2 linked regions of the Drosophila melanogaster genome follow. The gene in region 1 interacts genetically with each later gene. Each region holds a gene or a part of one and is shown in the gene's direction. Other genes may lie near its edges.

What was found. Genes that interact genetically often act in the same process or in processes that back each other up.
Region 2: of frtz (region 1) and Rab23, changing one enhances a phenotype caused by changing the other (phenotypic enhancement), as found in Drosophila melanogaster (one study listed by BioGRID).

Annotation. Positions count from the first base shown.
Region 1 is NT_033779.5:1,713,987-1,717,943, reverse strand, and holds the start of frtz (fritz), read left to right. Parts: upstream 1-2,092; 5' UTR 2,093-2,387; coding exon 2,388-2,805; intron 2,806-3,470; coding exon 3,471-3,771; intron 3,772-3,826; coding exon 3,827-3,957. Other genes in the region: Rim2 (replication in mitochondria 2), read left to right, coding at 1-66, 129-346, 715-841. UniProt on the Drosophila melanogaster protein: Probable effector of the planar cell polarity signaling pathway which regulates the septin cytoskeleton in both ciliogenesis and collective cell movements. Functions cell autonomously to regulate wing cell hair polarity and number.
Region 2 is NT_033777.3:5,683,835-5,687,434, reverse strand, and holds the start of Rab23 (Rab23), read left to right. Parts: upstream 1-2,000; 5' UTR 2,001-2,037; intron 2,038-3,600. Other genes in the region: plx (pollux), read right to left, coding at 66-185.

The DNA of each region.
Region 1 (3,957 bases):
AGCTACTTTGGAATCTGCGAGACGATGGTGCACTTTGTCATCTACGAGTTTATCAAGTCCAAGTTGGTAAGTAGTTGAATTTAATGCGCACTAGTTTCCCTCCGACTTAAAATCGCTTTCACAAACAGCTAGAGCAGCGAAATCAGCGGCATACGGACACCAAGGGATCCCGCGACTTTCTGGAGTTCATGATGGCTGGCGCTGTTTCCAAAACCATCGCCTCCTGCATCGCCTATCCCCACGAAGTGGCACGCACTCGTCTGCGGGAGGAGGGCAACAAATACAACTCCTTCTGGCAGACCCTGCACACTGTTTGGAAGGAGGAGGGCAGAGCAGGACTCTACAGGTGGGTAAAATAGATGAGCAGAGTGAATTTTCAATTTGATACGACATTAAGGCAATCAACTTGTACTTAGGGATTCCCTTGTTCGTGTAGTTCCCTTGAATCCGTCTTGAAATAGAATCGAAGGGAATCCCACTTGCACTCCGACATGTATATAAGAAACATATACATATAAGCTAATGAATTATCATAATGTGCCACCCACGAATTCGTGAAATCTATTTAAATTCTTTTGCGTCGCATATTTTTTGTTTGTTTACCTTAATTTGATTATCACTCTCGAGCGTGCTCACTCGAGGTGTTTTATATATGAGAGCTCTACCTTAGCAAATTCTCCTACTAATTGTAAACTTTACCAACTATTTCCACAGAGGCTTGGCCACGCAGCTGGTGCGACAGATTCCCAACACGGCGATCATGATGGCCACCTATGAGGCGGTCGTCTATGTGCTCACGCGGCGCTTCAACAACAAATCGAACGAGTTCTACGACTTTTAGATGCCTTTCAAAGGACTGGAGAAGGAGTAACCCAATCTGTGCATATGTAGACGCGACTGCTGCAACTTTATGTAATTTTATCCCTCGTTTTTAAACGATCCAAACCAACGAGCGCAAATTCTTAGTTAACTAGCTTCTAAGTCAGATATGAAACGAACTCGATAGACTTAAGACGTTAGACGTTGAACGTTGGCCAACCAATCGAAAAAAAAAAAGAAGCAAACAAAGAAAAAACCAATAATGGGAAACACGCACCAGGATCGAAGTGCACCATCCACACCCTAAACCCACTTGCTGCATGCCACAGAAGGATGTGGTATGCCACCGCAGGGCGAAACGTTATCAAAATTTGAAAAGGCTGCTATTTAGTTAAAGTTACAATATATATTGAGTGTATAAATGTGGTTGATACTTGGATAATATAGTGTACATAGGACTCGATTCGCTCAGAGTGCATTGTAAATAGTTAAAGAGTGAGTTCGCTGGCGTAGTTTTCTTAGTTGTAAGCACAAAATGTTGAATCGGCCGCAGTTGCCAGTAGATGCCGCTAAATATATATATATATAGATATAAAGCCGACCGATCCGATTCGTAAACTGTAAAAGTTTCCGTTAAGTTTCCTCAAATGCGATATACGATTTAGTTATCATTACTCTACTATATTACTTTAACTATATTGATACAATTTTTGCTGTTTATTTAGTCCATTAGTTAGCTAGTTAGTTAGTTATCCCCCCCCCCTCCACGCAAAACGTATTTCACTGATAATGAGCAAAGAACTAAGGAAACCACTGTGAATAATTGATTGCAATCCGATTTGATGGTGAAATCAATAAATACAACAATTTTGTTTAAAAATAACCCACTCGTTTCCCATTTAATATATATGTACATTATCTTATCTTAACAATCGTCTGCAGTCGAACATAGTTCATCTTGGCTAACCAGACTGCCGCCCATAAAAGTGAGATGAGATAAGCCGATTTGGCCAAGATAATACGATTTCGCACAACTAAATTAAAGTGATTTATTGGCTAGCTACTACACTGCGAAAGTAGTGGTAGCTTATTGTAAATATTTTATTTTTCTGAATTTCAAAAATTTAGATCCTGGTTCGGGTACGTGCTAAAAACATAGCATAGCCTGGTTCACAACCTATGTGCTCCATCGAAGATCTCCACCACGTGAGCGATCGCAGTTGTAGTCCATCTATATCACGCCACCACCACGCTCAGCGACGTAACAAAGTGCCGTCTCTAGTAACGTAAGCAGTGTTTCGAGCAACAAGTTTATTTTATTTTCATAAACAAAGTTTGTTTAAAGCGAAAAATCCTGGCCAAAGTGCTAATTCGTTGGCTATTCCGCGAGCAACCTTGATAACGAGTCGCAGAGCAGTCATAGAGCAGCGCAATTAACCCCGATACAAAGCAATCAGTGCAATTGGAGCAGCTTGAAAGGCACACGCCAACAAATCGAGATCGAGCTGATCGAGTCGCGTTGACACCCATCATTCCGCCATGCAAATCGATGCACTGGAGGCCTGAATATGCTGCTCAGCGAGACCCATTTCTGGACCACGTTGCGCGAGGATGTGGTGCGGATCAAGAGCCAGGACCTGGGCGCCTTTCGCTACCTCAGGCAGCGCGACAAGGAGCAGGAGCAGCAGGACCTCGCCTGCCTGGCCAAGCGAGACTATACGGAGCGTCGCAATGGACTGGCCGTGCTGAAGAACTCTGGTCGCAAGTCCACCGGCCGCTTGAAGGACAACCTCAAGAAGCTGGAGGACCTGCTGCGCCAGCACAGGATCATCCACTCCGAGTGGCAGGACGCGGCGCAGGTGCTGCTCCTCTTCTCACACGGCCTGATCGCCCACATCTGCGTGGACATCTACACGGGCGACATTCTGCGCATGGTCTTCGAGAAGTACCTGGTGGGCAAGCTCGCCTCCGAGGTCATTACGGATGGTATGTGCGATTCTCTCCTTTCACCCGCTCCAGCCCGCCCTCCATCGCATTAGAGCCATCCATCAATCAGCTTGGGCATTGCATTTCTGCATGTGCAGCTCGACTGGCAGACATCTCAACTTGCAGCGTTCGAAAATCAGTTAATATGCGTTAACATCACGCAATACATAATGGCTATTTCAGGCGTAATTAAAGGTTCCTCATCATTAGAACGAATTACCAAGACAGCTTGCTAGAAACACATGCATGCCATTTAATTATTCACTAAGCTCTCAGCTATAAAAGCTGTCCTGCATTTAGTTCTTTGTGCTGTTTGCCGCTTGTCATCCAGGGTATCAGTCATTCGATAGAGTGCAGTCCGCATTTGGCCTTGCTCCGCGGAGTGCTGCTTGTGCAGTTATGGAGAAATTTGCATTGGCAACAAGTGCGACTTGATTTGCACTTTCCCACACCAACACAGCCGCACGCACACATGCAGGGCATGCAATTATTGTAATTTTTAATTAATCTGCTGGCTTGTTTTGTTGCCTGTAAATATGCGAACCCCCAACCCCTTTCCCCCATCCACCATCCTCCGGCTTTCCATGTTTTGTTCGAGCCACTCATTCAGCTTTGTCGCTTGTGTCTCTTTTCTCGTCGTGCGCCCGCATCCGTTGTCTCGCCAGCTTTTTTCACCCGTTCCCACATCGTCTTGGCCTACAATACCAACCAGCTGACGGTGGTGCATCTGCAGAGGCCTAATGCTCGCTCCCAGGGACCGGAGAAGATCGCCAATATGGATCCGCGCATCTTCCACGTGATCATACCGGGCGCCACAGAGCGCAAACTATCCCGCCACCTCACAGTTAACGCCAGCTTCGATCTGTTCGTGGTTTGGACGCAGTCCTCGCAGAACGAGGTGTATCCCTGGAGGCCAACGATAAGGGACCAAGATCGTGCCAACATACATGTGTTCAAGATCAAGGGGTAAGTTGCACAGTACAACTCCCACTCCATGGCCCAGTCTAATCGCTTTGCTCAGCTTGCAGCTGGAATCGATTGCCTATTGCTGGTCGGAGAACGATCCGCTGTGCGTGGACTTCCTGCGAAGCAGCGAGAGCCAGATCATCACCCTGGAGCAGAAGGTTTCCCGCAAGGGCGACATAAGCGCAG
Region 2 (3,600 bases), on another chromosome or scaffold:
TAGCCCAATTAGTTTCTAAGCCAATGTAGAGTTATTTGTTTCATAATAATATATGTAATATTTACCTTCGTGTAGCTCTCCGTGGACCTGATATCGTTAATGGTCCACGGCAGCATGGAGGCGGAATAGCGCGGATCCACGGATGCACTGCCGCGGAAAGTCAGCGAGACGAGGCGCGTTTTCATCTTCACTGTTCCAGTTTCTGTTTCAGTTGCAATATTGACTTTGATTTAATTTCGAGTGTGGCTTATGCGTGTGTACTTTCGCCGAACGATAAACTGTTAAAATTGCTGGTCAAATTGAGTTGCGGCCCATTTATTTACTTTGCATTTTATTGGCCGCTTTGCAAATTGCTCTTTAATCGTTTTTGTATATGTTTTCCTGACGTAGCGTGCTGCAGTCCAGGATCGAATCAATATTTAATGGCGACCGCGTTTCCACATTCCCAGGCGGAAGGGAGTCGTCGCTGATGGAATTCTGACTTCGTGCGCCCAATGAATCACCCCCAAAAAGGGGGGCGGCAAAGCAGCCGGATAGTGCGGAAAATGGGCAAGTGGGAACATGGGAAAGATGGGAAATGGGAGCATGGGCAGCCGGGGCGCTGGAGCGGACAATGACCACCTGACTGCGCTTCCTGTGGGAAGGTCTCGAGGAGCGGAGGAGCAGAGAGCATCCGAGAAATTACTATCAATATTGATTTTTATTCGCAGCCAGTGCCGTCTTTGTTTTTCACATATTCATGGCTCACACATTCACAAAAATGCACAGTGCGCGCTCGCTACAGTTAACTGGCAAGCAAAAGTAGTTATTTAGATTCTCAAAGGAAAGATAGTTTCAATACTGTAGTAATATTAGTAAGAACTTTAAATTCACAGTACCATTAAGGCAGCAATGTAAGGATTCTCAAAACACGTACTTTCCTGTTGGCATGTTCCCTTTATCGAGCGTGCACTGTGATTTTTCTTTGCCTTAGAAAGAATGGGAAGATGGGGGCACGGAGGATGGGCTTGAGAGGCAGGAGGAGGAGCAGGAGGCGGAGAAAGAGGACGAGCCACCACCAGCAGACAGACTGCGAAAAAAGAGACGGCAGTCACCCCAATGTCGGAATTTACTTTTGCACTAACTTGGCACTTTTAACTTTCTACTTTCTAAGGTTTCCAATACCTTTTCGCCGCCCCTCGCCACACACACTCACACACCCGCCGTTACGCGACACACACACACACACGGATGGTGGCGTGCAACAATAAATACTGATTTTGGCGATTGGTGCGCCCGAAAACACGTTGAAATGCCACCAAATTCCGCTGAGCACTGAGCACTGAAAGTCGAGTTCCTGCCGCTTCTCCAATTCGCGATGCCTAGCATTTCTCTACGTCTCGTCCTTCGTCCTGTCGGCCGATAAATCGCGATTGCCGAGCATGCGCGTGCTGCCAGCCAAGTGGGTTGTCAGCAAAGGCGATGAAATTATAGCCGCAATTGGCCCTTACAAGACTGGTGCGCAAATCTTGCGGCAACACATTTCAATTTGCGCTTTTTCGAGTCCGCCGTTGAAAGTCAAACAAATGCGCGTCTTGTCGTTTGGAACAGCTGATTGCCAGGTGCTTCTTCTTCTGCGAGTGCCAGCCACTGGGAAGCAGTGTTGCAAAGGGACGGTAGAGGTAAATAACAGGCGCTACAAATTTAAAATTTAAATGCAAAGTGTTCTCACGTACATGTTTATTCAAAGCACTCAATAATAGTATGTACTTACTTTAATAACTAAATATTATATGCACATTGGACAATGAATTATTACTTATTTATTTATTTTGTAACCAATCTTTAAGTCAAATGGGAGGATGTATATATATGTTTCATTCTCCGCTCGTAAATTATTATTGGAGACGTGCAGATAAAATAAAAGCAAACCCGTTCACATCGAAGCTCGCCTGGTGTGACCATCCACGCTGGTCAAACTACTTTGCGCACGCCATGGTCGCACTGCTCGCAGCAAGCCAGGCTTGGCATTCAAATTTCGATCGCGACGAGCAACAGGTGCGATTTTTGGCATTCCGGTTCGCAGTGCAGCGCATTTCTCCCACTTGGCGCCCTAAAAAATCGGCCGGGGGCAAAAACCATAAACCATGGTGTATATCGTGTGTGCAAGTTGACTTTCACTGCGGGTCAATTCAGAGATCGGGATCCCAGGCGACGTTCGTCTTTAATTAAGGCGCTTCGCACGCGTTGTCGTCGTTGTTTTAGCTCCAATTTAGCTGCTTTAGCCGTTTTATCTGCTTGGTAGTTTTGGCCAAGTAGAAGAGGGGCTCCGCTGCGAACGTGTTTACGATTTTCTGTGCGATCCCAAGCTGCGATTCGAATGCGAGCTTCGCGTTTTCGCACTCGAAACTTCTTTTCGTCTATTTCTCACCCAGAAAACACAATCGCAGTAGACTTTTGAGTTGATTTTAGTGAGAAGAGGCAGTAAAAGAGCCATGAAAAATATGGCAAGAGATAAAAAAACAGACAAAAACAGAAGAAGCAGAGGGCGACACTGTGCGGAGTACCGTTAATGCGCGAGTAACTATTTAATCATGATTTAAATAATGAGGAATTCGCGCTCGTAATTGATTTAAGTAGCGCTCGGCATTTGCATAATTTTCCCCATACGAACACACACACTTGCAAGCCTGGAAAATCCGTTTTTCCTCTGCAGCAGCAGCGGCAGCACAACAAGTGCACATGTGTAGGGGTGTGCAGCCGTGCACGGCATGCATGCATGTGGCCGAGTGCAGGTGTATTGGTGCTGTTGTGAACCTAAATGGACAAGTTAGAATCCACATTCCACAACAATGGCCAAGAAAACGGCCGCCGATCTATCAGTTCCTTGGGCAAATCCAAAGATAATTGCAGCGCGGCGCTCCATTCGCAATTTACTCCACAGCCTGTGCAGAAAACAAATGGTTGCTCACAGGCTCAAGATTAGAACAATCTGAGGATCGGTGCTCTCTTTTGTGGAACAAATCTTTAAGTGTACACATGGCTATTGAACTAAATCTATAACCGGTGGCCTTAATTATCATGACAATGAACTACAAAAAAGTCAACGAAAATAGCATGAACCTTTTAGAAGAAGCTGTAGGAAAAAAGTCGCGGCATAATTAGAACGAGCGAAAGGTTGCACAGTGGGTTAAAGGTGGTGGTTTGGGTTAAGAAAGAATCGGTGGAGAAAATGGAAAACACAAATCCTGTGTTACCTGTCCGTCTAGTGCGGAATGCCGACTGTGTGGAAAGAGCTCAGAAAAGACTGCTGGGAATTAATTAATTGTTGTATTTGTAACCTTCGAAGGCAGATCACTATATTTAGGCCAATAAAATCTTGAGAATTTCACGCAAATTCATTCATATCAGCCACATTTTACACAAAAAAGGTTCGTTTATTATTGAAAAACTGAGAGAAAATTGGGAAACGCTGTAGGCTATACATATATCTAATGCTTCTTTCGAAGCTTAGATGAATCCAACCCGAATTGATGATTGGTTTGTTATTGTTTTTTCGAGCACCAAGCTTCCGATCTATTTTGAGAACCTTGAAACCAAGCTAATTTGCTTACGAAACGA